2 linked regions of the Xenopus tropicalis genome follow. The protein of the gene in region 1 interacts with the protein of each later gene in a pairwise test. Links are inferred from orthologs where the notes say so. Each region holds a gene or a part of one and is shown on either strand. Other genes may lie near its edges.

What was found.
Region 2: the proteins of fam102a (region 1) and skap1 interact in binary tests that used the Homo sapiens proteins (3 or more experiments, as listed by UniProt). The two-hybrid records come from large-scale screens. The link is inferred for Xenopus tropicalis from reciprocal best matches to the Homo sapiens genes EEIG1 and SKAP1.

The regions. Positions count from the first base shown.
Region 1 is NC_030684.2:25,542,803-25,546,630, forward strand, and holds part of fam102a (protein FAM102A), read left to right. Parts: intron 1-2,119; coding exon 2,120-2,241; intron 2,242-3,042; coding exon 3,043-3,112; intron 3,113-3,828. UniProt on the Homo sapiens protein: Key component of TNFSF11/RANKL- and TNF-induced osteoclastogenesis pathways, thereby mediates bone resorption in pathological bone loss conditions.
Region 2 is NC_030686.2:11,787,483-11,791,310, forward strand, and holds part of skap1 (src kinase-associated phosphoprotein 1), read right to left. Parts: intron 3,679-3,828; coding exon 3,613-3,678; intron 1,722-3,612; coding exon 1,638-1,721; intron 1,307-1,637; coding exon 1,182-1,306; intron 727-1,181; coding exon 663-726; intron 1-662. UniProt on the Homo sapiens protein: Positively regulates T-cell receptor signaling by enhancing the MAP kinase pathway. Required for optimal conjugation between T-cells and antigen-presenting cells by promoting the clustering of integrin ITGAL on the surface of T-cells.

The sequences.
Region 1 (3,828 bases):
TGCTGTGTGAAAGGCTCCCTGCAATAAGCGGCATCCAGTATTGTGCTGCAATATCTCATATCTAATAATAGTTATGGATTTTCCCATAAAAGGCAGCAGGGGTGATTTTTGGAACTTGGCACCCTTAGCTTTTCTCTGATGGACATCAGCCTTAGGGAGCACTGTAGGCCATGGGCCACATCACTAGGTGAGAGATGTCAGGCACTGGTAGAATAATTCCACAGGCAGTGTGTTATCTGACTGAACCTTGTTTAGGGTACGTGCTATAGCAGTGATGTCTATCGTTGACTCATTGTGGAATACTGTGTCTTAAAGGAACAGTAAAACGATTTCATTTTATGGTGTTAAAATAATTCAAATGTAATGTACTGCTGCCCTGCACTGGTAAAACTGCTGTGTTTGCTACAGTAACACTACTTTAGTTTATATAAATACCCTGCTGTGTAGCCATGTGGGCAGCCATTCAAGCTGGAAAAAAAGGAGAAAAGGCACAGGTTACATAGCAGATAACAGATAAGCTCTGTAGAATATAATGCTTATCTGCTATGGAACCTGTGCCTTTTCTCCTTTGAATGGCTGCCCCCATAGCTACACAGCAGCTTTGTTTACTAAACTATAGTAGTCTTTCTGAGGCAAACACACCAGTTGTACCAGCGCAGGGTAACAGTACATTATATTGTAATTACTTTTATACACATTCATTTTTTAGTATTACTGTTTCTTTAAGTCAAACAGATGGGTTGTTACTTGTTCCAGTCTCTCTGAGCCTCCCTGCATTGTTGTTGTGTGGGCCAGCACAGTAGTGGCCAAATAACAAATGGTAGGCATGCTGCAAAGGCAAATAGTGCCAGTATTCTCCCACTGACTGGGATGTGTATGGCGCAAACACTTGGAAGTAATGACTTTCTGTGCAGACGATGTATGCTCATAACATTTACCATGCATTTGCTTTGTAATTCAAAAGCCACAAAAATACCCCTCTGCCTTTTAAATGTCAAGTTTGTGACAGAGCCGTTAGTTTCATGCTGTGCCTCGGAGCTACTGCCATGGAATAAATGATGTGACTCAGCTGCACCCGAAGCACACTGGAACCTCTTGCTCATTTCTCTCTGAAGTCTGGATCCAGTGCTTAGTGACACAGAACAACCCGTGATTTCCTTACTTGGCTTGTACTGGTGGAATTTGTTGTTATTCCAAGTTACAAGGAAGAGATTCCACTGAACAGCATGACCGCTCTCTGCTCAGCCTCCTCTCCCTTCACTGAAAAATTATTAGGTGTGCATGTCCTGGAGTAGTTTATGGAATGGGACAAGCGCTGAGCAGGCAACTGTCTTATAATACACCTGCTCATTTATTTAAGAGCTTTCACAGTTGCAATGTACCCAGCTAGGCACCAAAGGACTGCAGATTAGCCTCATGCTAATGGCTGCCTGCTTCAATGAGAGTCTGGAGGGATCACAGTATCCTTACGAATATCCAAATCGTATCAGATATTTCATTAGCTAGAATAAACCGTTGATTTAGGGGACAAAGGAAAACAAGATTAATATCCAGGCCCGTACTGGCAATCTGTGGATTCTGGCAAATGCCAGAGGGGCTGCTGTAAGATGCCATAGACAGTCACTATTTAGTGGGCTGATGGGGGGCTGTTTGGGCTTCTGTGTACTTAACATTTTTATTATGTGTTCACATATTGCCCTAGTCAGGGGCAATGCTTGCAGCCAATTTTGGGAATGATATAACACTGGCACCCTCTCCCTTGGCTCATTCACTCACATCTGAGAGATTATGGCCTAACCTCTTTGCAGGTTTCACAAGGTGTTTTATCAGTTTGTGTTATGTCAGTAAGATGCTGTCTTCCATGGTATGCCAGCAGCACAATCACTTGGCACAAGCTTTTACATAGTTACATAGGGTTGAAAAAAGACCAGAGTCCATCAAGTTCAACCCTTCCAAGTAAACCCAGCACACACAACCCACACCTACCAATCTATACACTCACACACATAAACTATATATACAACCACTAATACTAACTGTAGATATTAGTATCACAATAGCCTTGGATATTCTGCCTTTTGCCTTACCCAAGTGTCCGTATGCTTTGTCCTGTCCTTAGGAGGAAGAAAGACTCTGTAGAGAGTCGGCCCACGTGGGTAGATGACACCAGGATTGATGCTGATGACATTGTGGAGAAGATCATGCAGAGTCAAGACTTCACAGACGTCAGCAACAACGAAGGTAAAAGAAGAGAGCTATATCAGCAGCTTTGAGAATTCCTCAGCAGTCAGGGAGCAAAGGAGTGCAATGCACAAGGGCTTGGGTACACAATTCTGCAGACTCCAGGAATGTTCTGGTTTGTGTAGGATATGATGGATCCTGGCATGATTAGTGTAGCAAGGCTTTCTTAATTTTGGCCTCTGTGCTCTTTGTTGTTCTAGTCCCTTCTCCTGCGCTGGGTACAGAGGTTGAATCCTCATTATTGCTGAAGGAAGTTAGACAAAGTGGCATTTTTGTTGCCGCAGAACCTTGCCTTGTCTACCTCCTGTCTCTTATGACAAGTTTAACCTCTGTGCCTGATCTGCTGTGGTATATGAACAATGCAGAAATCTAAGCCCCCAGGAGTATGAGCTTTATTTGCCATATTATGGTGTTTTACAGCTTTAGCTCAGGGGGGTTTACAGGGATTTGCATTTATGTGAGTCCCAAAGTTTCACAGATATAGGTCAGAGAAAGTAAATATTTGTTATACAGGGCAAAGAGAAACATAATGAAAACACATATCCCTGCCCTGTTGCCACAGTTAGCTCTTTAACCAACCCAATATGACCTGAAAGCTTTTAACAGTCACAGTTTAATCCCAACTTCCCATTCTTTTTCAGCAAGAAACAAACAATTGATCATAACCATATACATATATATACGTGACTCCTCTGATGCCACAAAATCTGCATCCTTTTGTTTTTGGCTTTGTTGTCTGTTCTTTGGTGTAATATTTAGAACAGGATTGTGTATAATGCTGCATACTGTGTCTCCTTCTAGATAGTCACCTAAGACTGTTTGTCAGTAGAGATGGATCAACCACTCTGAGCGGGATCCAGCTTGCTAACAGGTAAACAGCCTAAAGCTTAATTGTAATGCCAACCTGCAAGCCTTACACATGACTGGAAATTCCTCCTCCATCATGAAATATGTCTTGTGCCGCCAACGTCTTCAAATAAATAAGGATGGGGTGTGGTCTCACAACTCCCAAATTATTTACTGCTGGGGCCCCAGGAAGGCCTCTATCATTTGCACGTTGCAATGTCAGTTACAGCAAACCCACCACTTGTGTTACTAGTTGCCTTGCATGACACAAGTGGCACTGGGAAACCAGAGTGGGCCGGAATTATGACCGCCGTACACAGCTGGAACTAAGGGGTAGGCAGAAGAGGCACTTGCCTAGGGCACAATGATGGGGGGCACCAGGCAAGTACCTTTTGTGGCTACCCCTATTCCGCGCTCCCTTGTCATTGCCCCTGCCGATTGTCATTGCCCCGCCACCGTGAAGGCATTGCAGAGGTGTGGTAGCCAACCAGGTTGCCTAGGGCTCCTGGTCGGCTTGGCCTGCCCCTGCTGCCCAGTGGTTAATTTTTTACTCACTGTTACAGTGATCAAATAAAAAACTGAACCATGAGATCCTGTCACTGACAATATCATGACACAAAAGAATGTAATAAAGAATGCCTATGTGCCTTAGATGCCACGGGTGCTAAGGAATTGTTGTTTATTAGATGTACCCAAGGCATTTCAGTATGCAATTAGGAAGGCATGTCAATCATTTGTCTG
Region 2 (3,828 bases), on another chromosome or scaffold:
ACTAGCACCCTCTCTCCTTTGTGTGCAAATTAGGCAACCAGACCCTCCAAGTGCCCTGGCCTAGGCTCCCACTAGCAATATTTATTTCCCCTTACATCCCTCCGGGATCGGGTCTGCTGCCAGTTTGCCAATGTGCAATGAGCGTGGGGTAGTATTCATATTGTTTTTGTTGATCCTCTTCTCCGCTTACAGAGCTAGTTTACTGTTTTTCTTTGAAATAAATATTGAAAAACATATACCCCACTGATGCCTCAATTAATGTAATTTTATTGGTATTTATTTTGATTATTAAAACTTAGCAGTAGCTGCTGCATTTCCCACATTAGGCTTATACTCGAGTCAATAAGTTTTTCCAGTTTTCTTAGGTAAAATTAGGTACCTCGGCTTATATTCGGATCAGCTTATACTCGAGCTAGTTCACAATGCATTGCACTGTGATGTTCAGGGAATTGTGGGATTGGGAGGATGCAGGCTGAAGGCAGGCTGAGGACAGTCAACTACTGTAACATTTTTTTTTAACTTTTCAAAAAACTGTTGTGTTTCAGTGGAGTTCCCCTTTAAAAAAGTCTAAAAACGTTTGATTTTGTGAGACTTGGCCAAGGTGTCCCTCCCATGTTTCCACATGTTACCTCAATCTGTATTTTATCCATGGACTGACTCACCTTTCACCAAGAACTGTATTTGTTCCACCCAGTCTCTGGCATCGGATGGGCTGGCAGCAGTAAACTGTAAGACAATAAAACTCAGCAGTTTTTATTACTTGTACAATTTAGGGATTCTGGAAGTGAAAAAAGGCTCATTTACAACTGGTACAGGCACAAGTTCTGGACTGCTAAGGGGTGCAAAACTGCATCATTTACTGCCAATACTTGTCCCTGTACAATTGGTGCAGAGCGCAGCACCCAATGACACAAGAAAACATTGGGCTTGTTCCCTATCATAAGTGAGTATAAAATAAAGGACACCCTAAGCCCGTGTCCCCAGGAGCTCCCCACTGTGCTGAATGATGTGCATGTTAACAGAATTCCCAGGGTTGCCCATCTCAGCAGAAGGCAGGCCGCAATGCATTGATACACACTTCAGGGCACTAAATTGGACTGGGGCAAGGAGCAATAAATCAGGCCACTTTGCTCCCAACTTTGCACTAGGCTCCGTACCTGGTAAATGAGTTGGTCTCTTACCTGGAAAACCTGTTGGTTTGGTGTCACAACTTCAAAACAACTGTCACGCCGGGAGTCTTTGCGAATGTAAGGCATCATTTGTGCTAGAGAATCTTTAATGAGGAAACCATTTTTGGGCTGCTTCCCTGCAATAACCAAGAGTGATAGTCGGTGGCATTCTAAACCGTCCATCAGTGACCAAAGCAAACGTTCTCTTGGCATTACTTAAACTTACATTAGCCCCCATATACCCCATTTCTGTTTACCTTTCTCTGAGATTGATGACTCTACGGGGCAGGGACCTCCTTCCCACTGTGTCTCATACCACATGGCACTTACTCCCTGTGTATTTATACTTATTTATTGTATTTATTATAACACTTGTCCTCCCTGTGTGTAATTCTGTATATTGTAAGATTGTACAGCGCTGCGTATCCTTGTGGCGCTTTATAAATAAAGTTATACACACATACATACCTTTCTCACTAGAATAATATAGGAAGGCTCTCGTTGTGAGCACACACCACCTCTTCTGCCACTCCGATCCAAAAAAGCCATGATCTAGAAAAAAAAAAAGAAAGGCAAGCCACAATGAATATATCACACAAGGCTAACTAAAGGGAAACGTTACAACAATCAGAATATTTTTTTTTAGCCCTGAATGACTTTTGCAGGTAAAATAGCTGGGATCTTATACCCTAAACAATGAGGGTCTCTATAAAAATATATTGCATAAAAAAGCTCAGATGTAAAACCTGCTTCATCTAAATAAACCATTTTCATAAGAATATACTTTTTTAGTAGTATGTGCCATTGGGTAATCCTAAATAGGAATTATACGATTCATGGTGCACACAAACAAGCCAAGGCACACATACATGTTAGGTCACATCAGCCAATGAGTTCTGCCTTTTGCTCCCACACTACTTCCTGTTACAGAGCTGCATTATTTCCTGTCAGCTGATCTCTGAGGGAGCACACAGCCCATCACAAAATGGCGGCTCAAGGGAAAGGATATAAAAGGGCAATATTTACTAATAAATATTTTCCAGTTTGGCAAGATTCTTTAATAGGTCACTTAATATAATATAAACTATTTGTAGGATAAGTATTCATTCTGGGGGTATACGTTCTATTTTCCTTTCTCTACAGGATCCGCAGAGAATCAAGAACCAGTTTTTCCATGCTTCGCTCCACATTCCTATTCATAATGATTATCTTTAGTAAGCATCAGAAACCTGGCTACAGGGCGAAATCATACATGGCAATTACAGGAGAGCACGAGGATTAAAGTGCACTTCAAGTATTCCCGAAGAAAGTACATCAGGTCAATATAGATTTTTTAAATGCAGCAGTTGTATTCTGTGTATCAAACAAAACAAGTATTATGATATACGATCTTATTGGCATCGGGGGAAAAGAAACATTATATGAACATTTATCATGAGGCTCCAAAGACCATAACACTTGTGGCAAGGCCGTCTACAGAAGGATACATGATGGGGCAAAGGATTTACAGACAGACCCTCAATATTACAGGACTCAATACCTGGAGAAGACCTCATGTATTGTTAGTTGTACTTAGATGTGTGTGTTTGTGTAATGTATTGTTGGTCTTCTGAAAATCCATTCCCTACTGAATCCCAATGCCTTCTGTTAGTGAGGCAAGACAGAGATAGATAGATAGATAGATAGATAGATAGATAGATAGATAGATAGATAGATAGATAGATAGCCAGGCCGATAGAAAGATAGACAGACAGATACAAAGATAGATAAGATAGGTAAATAGATAGATAGATGATAGATATATCGATAGATAGATGATAGATAGATAGAGAGAGAGAGAGAGAGAGAGTGGTCCTACAACAGTATGAAGACCCCTGAAGCAGCCACATTACCTTTCTTTCTCCTCTCGAGATAGCCAGATAGCCAGGCAGATAGAAAGATAGACAGACAGATACATAGATAGATGATAGATAGATGATAGATAGATAGGTAGATGATAGATAGACAGATAGACAGATACATAGATAGATAAGATAGGTAAATAGATACATAGATAGATGATAGATAGATAATATATATATATATATATATATATATATATATATATAGAGAGAGAGAGAGAGAGAGAGAGAGAGAGAGAGAGAGAGAGAGAGAGTGGTCCTACAACAGTATGAAGACCCCTGAAGCAGCCACATTACCTTTCTTTCTCCTCTTGAGATAGCCAGATAGCCAGGCAGATAGAAAGATAGACAGACAGATACATAGATGATAGATAGATAGATAGATAGATAGATAGATAGCCAGGCAGATAGATAGAAAGATAGACAGACAGATACATAGATGATAGATAGATAGATAGATAATAGATAGAGATAGATAGATAGAGAGAGAGAGAGATAGTGGTCCTACAACAGTATGAAGACCCCTAAAGCAGCCACATTACCTTTCTTTCTCCTCTCGAGATAGCCCTGTTTAAAGATTTTATCCAGTTCTTCTTCAACTTCAGAGTCTTTTGAAAAAAAAAAAAAAAGAGTGGAAATTATTTATTACAGAAGGTAATTGACAAGAATGGAGAACAAAATATACACAGTACAGTACAGTGCCCAAGGTGGATGGTTGCATAGTAGATGGGCATGGGCAGAGTATGGCATAATAGCAC